Linked DNA regions of Neodiprion lecontei. The protein of the gene in region 2 interacts with the protein of the main gene of each other region in a pairwise test. Links are inferred from orthologs where the notes say so. Each region holds a gene or a part of one and is shown on either strand. Other genes may lie near its edges.

Region 1 (5,025 bases), on a different chromosome or scaffold from region 2:
TGTCGGACCGTTTTACTTTACTGCCCATAAAAGTACCGAGATTTAGACTGCAGTAGAACCGTGACGTAACGACGTATTGTTGCGGTACACTGAGCACGCTGGTGCTTTTCCCTTGCCCCCACGGGGTTTTGCCGCAAGCTACCGTCAAACGCCGTTCGCTCACTCGGTCAAGTTTAATTTCTCCGCTCGTAGGGGAGAGCTTTCGCGTGGCGTCGTTGGAGGGGGGAGGATTTTTAATTCGTAGCACGCGTGATCCTTGTAACGTAATTGTTCCTGGGGTTACGGATCGCGTTTTTTTCCTAAAACGAGGGTAAAAAGAAATTTCTTCAAATAAATAAGTGATTAAAAAACCGTCCAAGTCGACCCGAATCTTGTGATCGCCGTTCGCGCAAGGAGAGGGAATCGAGATTCTCCCCGCAGCGGTAGCGGATCTCGCGAGAAGAGAAGCTAGCCGAGAATTTGGGCGGGAGGGAAGGAGACGTTGAGATAAAGAGAGCGCGAGACGTCGTGAGATTGGGGGGGCGGAGGGGTGAGCGGCGACAGAATAGAGCGGTTGACGGGCGCGCCGACAGATCGCGCGGTCGGCGCTCATCGAGTTCGTCGGGAGTTCGCGCCGGCGGAGCTCAGTGAGCGCTCAGTACGGCTCGGCGAGGCTAAGCGAGAAGAAAGGGGCTCCCTTTCGTGTTGACGTTGGTTTGGAACCGTGCGCGCCTACAAGCCAGAGCGACCCTTCCTTCTTCGACCCTCCGACAAACTCGGGGGAAAGAATTTATCGCGCGATATAACGCGAGGGAGAAAACCTGGAGTATCAGTCAGTCACCCCGGCGCTCAGCCCTTCGGGGGGAGAAAGGACTGCGAGCCGCTTCTTCTACTACTGCTGTATTTTCGTCGGAGCCAGACGGACGGACGGTCACCGCCTGGGCCGTCTGATCGTAACGGAGCGTTTCTACTCGACCGAACACTCGGGACCAGCTTTTGGACACCCAGTGTTCCGCTTGTAAAGGCGTTGGAGGAAAAAAAAAAGAAAAAAAAGAAGCAGCAGCAACGGAGAAAGAGGGAGAGAAAAAAAAAGAAAAGGCGTGCGCGCGCGCGCTCCTCGGCGTTTGAGTGGATATTTAATTGCTGCACGCAGTGTCGGGGGGGTTGAGTGCGATTGTTGCATTTTTTGACTTACGGATGAGAAGAGAAAAAACGAGAAAAAAACTACGACAAGCAAAAGCATCAACGTAAATAAAGATTTACGAAAAATAATAAACTGCAACGAGACGAAGATTAACCATTTCTTTTTTCCTCGTTATCTTTTCACCTCTGTCTCTCTCACTCTAGCTCTCACTTTCCGTACAAACTGTACACAAATAACGTTGCTAATTCTCGTTGAAACGAGAGGCAAGAAGATTGTGATGTTCGGGGTGACAGTTTTGCATAAATTACACGACACCGTGATGATTGTACGACTTCGGCTTATCGCCAGGGATCGTCGACTATCCAGTTGTTAGGGGAAAAGTACGTGCAGAGCTCGGAGTGATATTTATATATATATATATATATATATATATATATGTGTGTGTATATATGTAGTTTTTTCTCATCTTCTCTGCAAAATAGTACACCACAGCAGGTGTAATTTTTTTTTCCATGCCAAGTGTCTCGTTGATCCTGTGAAATGACGGACTGATTTATACGTATGCATGCACATTACATACATATATATGTGTGTGTGTACATATATATATCCATATACGTATATGTATACATGTATGCAGGGGGTAAAATTTTTCCCATATAACCGTGCGTGATAAACAATAAGAGACGACGAAAAAAACAGACAAGTGTTTCAAAGAGCAGAGAAAACTGTTCGATACAACAACGATCGAGTCCCTTCGTTGACGATAAAATATACCGTTCATAATAATAATAATAATAATAATAATAATAATAATAATAATAATAATACCTGCACACGATCAACATACTAAATCGCGTGTGTGTATCTTATTTCTGTTTCATCTAAAAATCTTCGCTTCGTTGGAAATTACGAATATATAATTACAACAAAACTGGACCGACTCGTCGTCGATCGCTGCTGGATGATGCAAATCTGATTACCTCCTCCCCCCCCCCCCCCCCCCCCCCCCACCACCGCAAAAAATAAAACAAACAACAATAACCCTTCCGCATCCTTATCAACGGCCTTTTTCTAACTCGACTTCTCTTCCACGGTTCTCCTCTTTTTTTATTTTGGTCGTCGACCTTCCCACCCTCCCCACGCTCTCGCTCTACACGTCCTTCTCTCTCTCTCTCTCTCTCTCTCTCTGTCTCTCTCTCTCTCTCACTCACTCACTCTTTTTCTCCCTCTCTGTCTGTCTCCCGCTCTTCTCCCCCACGGCCGCCACCCTCCACCTGTCTGCCGCGTCGTCTCTGCCCCCCCCCCTTCTCCACCCCCCGTCCACCCCATCCCCTCCACCGCTCCTTCACCCCACCCCACGTCATCCGGTCAACACGCGACTGTCTCCTTTATTTACACCGCGAACTACGACGACGACGATGCTGTGCCGCAACGTGAACGGGAACGCCGACCTCCTCGCCGCCTCATCCTCGTCATCGTCATCATCATCGTGGTGAACGGTTTGACGTGAACAAAAAACAAACAAAAAAAAAAATATACCAACAAAAAAAAAACGACAAAACATATATCTAAAAATAAAACTAAAAACCACCAATCGGGTTCGTCCCGACGTATCCGGTGTTGTGAGAAATCCGTATCACCGAAAACCCGCTGCCTGATTCATCCACGATCATTATAACCCCGGCAATAAACCGTCACCATCTGCACCATCGCCGATCACGTGGCTTGTTCGACGGCGACACTGTACGACAATGTTCACGCCGCACCCTTGTGCGGTTCCGGCGTGGGCCACCCTGGCTCCGTCACGCCGATGGGTGCAGCCGCCGGAGCGGGGAATTCCGCCGGGGTGACGACCTGGTGGAACATCATGAACAGCGGCTTCTACGAGGACAGCTCCCCGCCAGTACCGCCGACCTCCTCTCTCCTGCCGATCCAGCAACAGCAGCAGCAGCCGCAGCAGCAGCAGCAGCAGAACTCGACGCCAGGCTCTCACCCGCAGGCGACGACACCGACTTCCCCGGGCGCCCCCGCATCGGCCGGCACCGTTCCACCCCCGCCTACGGCGAGCGCGAGTTCGACGTCACCGAGCGCCTCGTCGGTCGCGAGCAACAGCGCGGCGGGTCCTCTCCACATACCGGCGAAGCGGCTGACCGCCACCCCCGGGGGCGGTTCGACCTACGGCGAGGTTCCCTGCGTCGAGCCCTCAGGGGCGGCGGGCGCGGGGGCGGGCGGCGTGATAAGGCACTCGCACTCCTCGACGGGCGGCTCTCAGGGCGGCTGGAGCTACAGCCCTCACCACCCCCAGGACCCTGCCCACTACGGGGCTTCGGGGCCCGCGGCGGACCCGCTGAACCACCACCAGGCTTACGGGGGCGCGAACCCCCCCACCTACTACAACCTGGCGGCCGACCCGAGCTCGACGACGGGATCCTCGAGGGACAGCCGAAAGGCCGCCGCCGCTCTCAGCTTCTGGTCACCGGCGGCGGCCACGGCCTCCTCGGGGGGCGCCGGCGGACCCACCCCCGCTGACTATAAGTCTTACAACTCGTCGGGGGGCGCCACCGGTGCGACTTCCTCCGCCGGCGGGGGCGGATCGACTTCCGGCTCGGCCGGCGACCCCGCCGTCTCCTGCCACCAGAGCTTCTCCCCAAGCTGGTGCAACTACTCCCCCTACTCGACGGCCAGGCATCATCATCCCGTCGACACCGCCGGTCATCACCACCCCCACTCCCAGGCCGGTATACCCTACCTCACACCCTCGGCGGCTGACGATCGGGGAAGGACCGCCGCCGCCATGGTCGCCGCCGAGGGGGCCTTTCCTCACGACGGATACGGGAGTCTCAGGAACTACGGGGCACCGGAACCGGTCACCTCCAGCCCTTATCCGCCTCCAGGTAAGCATCGATGCCGATTTCGAGCCACCCCCGCGACCTTACACTTTCGTCATTCCCGTCGTTTCGTTGATCGCGAAAAGAGTTGCTCGACGTCTGCGGAACGTCGTGTTCCACGTGTTTTGCAGCGTAATGCACGCGTGTGCGTGTACGCTTACGAACGCCGAGTGGGATCGACGCACGACGTAAAAGTATACGTGTGTGAGAGTCGTTCGTTCATTCATGCGTTCTTCGCGTTCACGCCTGTATAGACCGGTACACCTAGGTACGCGTACGTGTGCGTACGTAGGTGAAGAGAGCTCGAACGCGTTTTCCCTCGCACCCTTCTCCCTCTACCCCCCCACCGTTTCGTCCCCCTACGAACCGTGAAACGTCGCAGCGAACAACGGCCCGTGGTGAGTTTATTGGCGGCCGTAACTCGTAAACCCTGGCGCGCGCCTCCGATCAGCTGATCTGCCTCGTTCCTCGACCCGCTGGTCCGTCGTCTGCCTTCCTTTACTCCGTATACGCTGACTCTCTCTCTCTCTCTCTCTCCTTCCCTCTTTCTCTTTCTCTCTCGGAGTCGGTTCCTCTGCTCTTCATCGTTCAACGTACTCCTTTTTCACGCACGCTAATTCGTATTATCGTTAGCCAAGGCTTGTGTTCGTATTATTTATATTGCTTTCCCTTTCTCTCTCTCTTTTTCTCTCTCTATTTTTCTCTCCGGTAGTTTTTAAGACCCCGTTTCGACATATCCACGATCCGATCAAAAACTTCAGTCCGATAGCAAATATTTGACCGCATGAATTCACAACGTGATTCTCTTCTCAGCCCGAATGATATACATACACGTACGATATGTTATAATTATGATTACATTTTTAATAGTTTTTTTTTTTTTATTCCGTATAACGTGTAGCTGCTTTAATGTTCTGGTTGTATTGTATTTACTTTCTAACGTTTACGATAGTCCTGACGAACAAACGAAAAAGAAAAAAATTTTTACGACAAAGTAATTACTGTCGATCA
Region 2 (4,972 bases):
TGCTAAGTTGATGATTCAAAGAAAGCTATTCAAAATCCAGGTATGATTCGACCCTTCTTAGAAGCTCTCTTCAGGTTGTTTATTTTGTTTTCCCTTTTTCGTTTGTTAATGTTTTCTTGTCTTTTTTGTTGTTTCTCTTCCAGCGATTTCTGAACCTTTTCTTTTCGAGCCTCCCATTTTTTAGCGCTATGTTTCCTTTTTTGCTCTTCTTTTTTGACTGATTTTTTCAATAACTCTGGATTATCCTTGACTTTTTCCCCACTTGCCTTGGCTAGAACAGTTTTCCAAGCTTGTCTCTCCTGAAGTTCATCGGCCGCATCTTTTTTTCCAGCTTGCTGTAGTTCGTTTATCTTCAACTTCTGTTTTTCCAACTTTTGCAGAATCTTTTTGGGATCCTTGTCTACTTTAGGCTGTACTTTTTTAGCACCGATTTCTGAGAAGTCGAATTTACTGAAGACCATTTTACCTTCCGAATTGAAAATTGGTTTCGGTCTTGTGAACTTGGGCACATCTCCGTTCTCATGCTTCGCTTTGGCACCCCCAGCTGCAGCCAACTCTGTCTTGGCCAGTTTTTTCTGCATCAATCTCTCTTCTTTTTTACTTTTTTTCTTCAGTCTATTTTTCAGGCCCTTTTTCAAAAGTTTCGCTTTATAATCCAATCGCTTTCCCTTCAACTGTTCCAATTTTTCATGCAACTCTATTAACGTATTCGCTCTCGACGTGCCTGACCCCAGAGCCAAAAACATCTTTTCTATAACCCAAAACGAGAGTATTTGGTAATTAACAGTAATGGATGAACTTTTCATCAATCTTTTATAGGAATCCTTGGAAATATCAATTATGTAGTCTTTCCACACGCAAGCGTGCCGCTGATAACCAAGAACTTTAAATATTCTACAATTGTTATCTCTAGCAGACTTATTGCAAAAAACTAATACCTCTGTCATTGGTTTGTTGCTCGTGGTCGGCATCATCGTCTTGGAATTCATCTGCAATAAAAAAAGCGTTAAATTATATCTCGTTGTCAACCAGACGAGTCTATACAACGTAAGAATTATCAAATTTTCAGGTTATATTTGAGTTCGAACCGTTTTTGTGCAGGGCAGAGTATGGTATAGGCATACGGGAGAACAAATCTGTTATGTACTTATTTTCCCTTATCAATATCTGCTTCGCCAACTTCACGTCGAATGATTTAGCCTTACGCGTCTCTGTTAACTGCATCTTGTCTTTCCTTTTAACCACAAAATTTCACGTGCACCTCCTGCAGCTTGTAAATATAATGACGATGACGAACAGCAGTCGCCGCGGCGTGGTCAAATCGCGAAACGTACGAGAGAGAAGCAGACAGAAGCCTGAGAGAGCCCACGCTTGCACTTCTCGTGTCTCCGGTGTATTAGCGCCCTTTGACACCATACAGGTATTCAGAACTAGTTTTAGAGATATTTGAACGGTAAAGGCATGACGGTAACTGAACTGCACTCTGCAGTATCTTCAGTGATCGGCCATATTCGGCATCACGAAAACAGTGGATGTTAGTAATTTGTTCATATTTGACTACTGATCCCCGTAAATGTGTTCCGCATCGTTCACTGTTTTCACGACGCTTAATACGGCAGAGTATTGGTCGGTTACGCCACGCGTTTACCGACCAAATACCTCGAAAATTAGTGTCAAAAACCTATATCACGGAAAGACGAGCGTGAGCTCTCTCAGGCCCGTAGACTTACTGAGTCTGTGTCTGGTACTATCAAATGACGCACAGATGGCGCTACTATCAATTGGGAAACGTCATTCCAGGCAAGGAGGGAGTGATAAAGAAGGTGCAACGTTGAGGTTGAATATTCTTGTACCGTTATCAGCAGCAGACATTCTTACCGGCGAAAAGTAGCGAGCAAAACTTTGCAAGGAAACGTGGGTAGACGTCAAGCCTCGTTGTCACTTGGATTAGATTAGGTTAAGTTAAGGTTATTTTGGGTTATGTTAGAATTTTATCCGTGAATCCTGACGAATCTGACGTTTCCGTAAGCCAGGTATGAAACCATTATTTATTTTGATTTATCCCAGCTGACGGACATAATTATACGCACTATTGCACGCATACATTCATTAATTTATTGTTTATTGTAGTAAACAGCAACGACAGTCTGAAAAGTTGAGTTCAAATTTTTTCGTTACAACGGTGATAAATTCAACACTTGATAACAGCGGCTAATTTTTATTCCAAAATTTTTTAACATATAAGTTTCCCAGATACCAAATATTACCACGTAATCGCAAAAGAAATCCTGCAACATCGGTTCCAGTTCCAATCAACAACTGCATTCAAACATGGCCGCCATGGAAGCCATGTTTATTTGCCGCGCATGCTCACGGGTTTGTTTGGCAAATTAAACCTCCGTTTAGACGCTTGAGAGTTGATATTTTGCCGGTAAAACACGAGTAAAAATATTATTTTTCACCAATAAGTAAACAGTGGGACAAATACGTATCAACATGCCGCCTAATCGGGTACATAAATAAAAACTGTAGAATAAAAAGTGCAATGTGGGCGGAGTCTGCGTCGCAACTGCTGTCAGGAATGAGCGTCGGATGCGCGACGTGCGAGACTAAACCTGCCTTACGTGAATACAATCAGCATTAATGTGAAAAACTTTTATACAATGATCAGACCTTAGTGAATATCGGAGTGTTGGCGACAGTGCGTGTAAACCGTGAACGACATCGAATCGGTGATAGTTTGATGCTCGGAGGTTAAATAAACAAGCGTCAACGAAGAGTCGCGCATGGGGCAGCAAACAAGTGAGAGAGAGACGTCTCGTGTCGGAGGACGGAGCGCGAATGCGGTCCTCTGATTGGCGGGAACGGGTATGGCTGGCGCACGCACACTCGGCACCGAGGGAAGCTAGTTTCACACTAACCAAAGTCAGATCGCTAGAGACAGAACGCACACGGGCCGCGCGCTGCCTTGTAAAGGCACAGAGTAATGCCATACGAATGGCAAGAGTTTTCCAAATCGGCCTAGGCTTACCGTGAAACACCGTCGAAAACAACAATACCGAGGATTCGAAAACGGTAACGAGGATGACGTAAATTAATAGTTATTAAAAAGTAATAAATAAAACAAATAGATACATAAAATAATAACTGTAATAAAACGAACCGTGTATACGTAACACTTTGACAATCCGTCAACTAGACACTACTCTACATCATACCGACTACGAACCTAAAACATAAGAGATATATATATACACATATATATATCATAAAGGATAAAAAAGAATACAATAATACAATAAAATATAAGAATAAACGTAAGTGTGAACGTTGGAAATTCGAGACAAAGGAAATTAATACCAGAAGACACTGTTGTATATATATATATATATATATATATATTGTATATACACATATATATATATACACACATATAAATACATATACGATGCTGATAGTGTCTACGAATTATTTTCAATCGCGTTTTAATGTAACAAATCGATAATAATAACCACAGTGATTATTATTGTTATTGTTATTATTATTACCGTAGTTGCGAGTATATACATATATATATTTCCAAATAATCCCGAAGAGAACGACGAAGGTAGCAGAGTTTGCCGTATTTACACACGGAGAAACATATGTACGCGATATAAGATTCGTTGTTAGTTACGGATAAAGTGGAACACGTGTTGAAAAATTAATACAACGACGAAAGTTTGTGCGCGAGATGGGAGTATTTTAATAATCATCATCATCATCGTCCAATAATAATCGCAAAATAGAAGAGAAATGAGAAAGTGAAACGCGTCGGTTGGCGATTGTTTGATTGTTTGTTTACTGTTGTGTGTTTCTTTGTTTTTAGTTCTTGTAAATCTTGTAAAGAAAACCATTCGGGATCAGTCATTCGTCGCTCCGAAGTCCTGACAAAATCGCGAGAGGCATCATAAAAAAAAAAAACGAAAAAAAAAAAACTAAAAACAAAAACAGAGCAAAGAGAACATCGGTGCTCCAGCGAGCCGCCAGACGTAAACGGAGCTGGTACTCAGTTGATGGATGAAACTGGAAGGATGCTGCAACACGGTGGTTCAGGTGTGAGTCTGATGGGGGGCAACCAGGGTCAAGGGGCCCAAAACACGGGGGGCTACGGCAGCATGGGGCCCGTCGATGCGAGCGCGGCTCAAGGCCCCGATCAGAGCGTCGAGGCGAGGAAACAGGACATCGGCGAAATATTACAGCAGATTATGAACATAACGGACCAAAGTTTGGACGAGGCACAGGCTAGGTAATTAAATTCCCAATTCAATCATTTCGCGAGTATACTTTAGGGAAAATATGAATATCGCGCGGACGAAATTCCGTCGGGAACTTGATTCTGTCGATGATTCAGGGATCGATACTCTGTAATTTAGAATGGAAAGAGGTGACGATTACGGTAACAAGTGCCTGCTCATAGAGTTACTAATGCGTTGAGTGTAATTCGTTTTCATAACCGAAATAAAGGAGGCGCAAAATACGACAAGCGATCGGTTTGAGAGTTGTTTAACACTTGAATATACCGGCCTTATTGCGGGTTATTGTTGTTTTTAATTTATATCGAATATGTGTACGCTGTCTGTTTAAACAATAGTTAAACGTCTTTTCTGTTTGTTATTGTCCACAGAAAACACACGCTAAATTGCCACAGAATGAAACCAGCCCTATTCTCCGTCTTGTGCGAAATCAAAGAAAAAACTGGTAAGCTAAGACATCAGATACCTGCATTATCGAATTCGAATTTCATACGTTGTTCAAATGCTGTACGATACATTCCGACCTACGTTTTCGCGATTATTCAACGACTGTCGCCGTCCGTGCAGAGAATCGAAAAAGAAGGTCACACGGCTACATGCAGTTCGTGCACACGTCCGTTTGTTTATACTTCGCCTCAAGCCGGAGGAACATTTTAGTTTTAAAAGAATTTCGAAGG

What was found.
Region 1: the proteins of homeobox protein extradenticle (region 2) and homeobox protein abdominal-B-like interact in a protein complementation assay, tested with the Drosophila melanogaster proteins (2 studies listed by BioGRID). The link is inferred for Neodiprion lecontei from reciprocal best matches to the Drosophila melanogaster genes exd and Abd-B.

What each region holds. Positions count from the first base shown.
Region 1 is NC_060260.1:2,754,784-2,759,808, forward strand, and holds the start of homeobox protein abdominal-B-like, read left to right. Parts: upstream 1-1,897; 5' UTR 1,898-2,936; coding exon 2,937-4,020; intron 4,021-5,025. UniProt on the Drosophila melanogaster protein: Sequence-specific transcription factor which is part of a developmental regulatory system that provides cells with specific positional identities on the anterior-posterior axis.
Region 2 is NC_060262.1:32,546,336-32,551,307, reverse strand, and holds the start of homeobox protein extradenticle, read left to right. Parts: upstream 1-1,873; 5' UTR 1,874-2,033; intron 2,034-2,441; exon of another isoform or gene 2,442-3,868; 5' UTR 3,869-4,055; coding exon 4,056-4,288; intron 4,289-4,666; coding exon 4,667-4,740; intron 4,741-4,972. Other genes in the region: surfeit locus protein 6 homolog, read right to left, coding at 30-751, 939-989, 1,089-1,224. UniProt on the Drosophila melanogaster protein: Transcription factor which acts with the selector homeodomain proteins altering the regulation of downstream target genes such as wingless (wg), teashirt (tsh) and decapentaplegic (dpp), thus affecting segmental identity.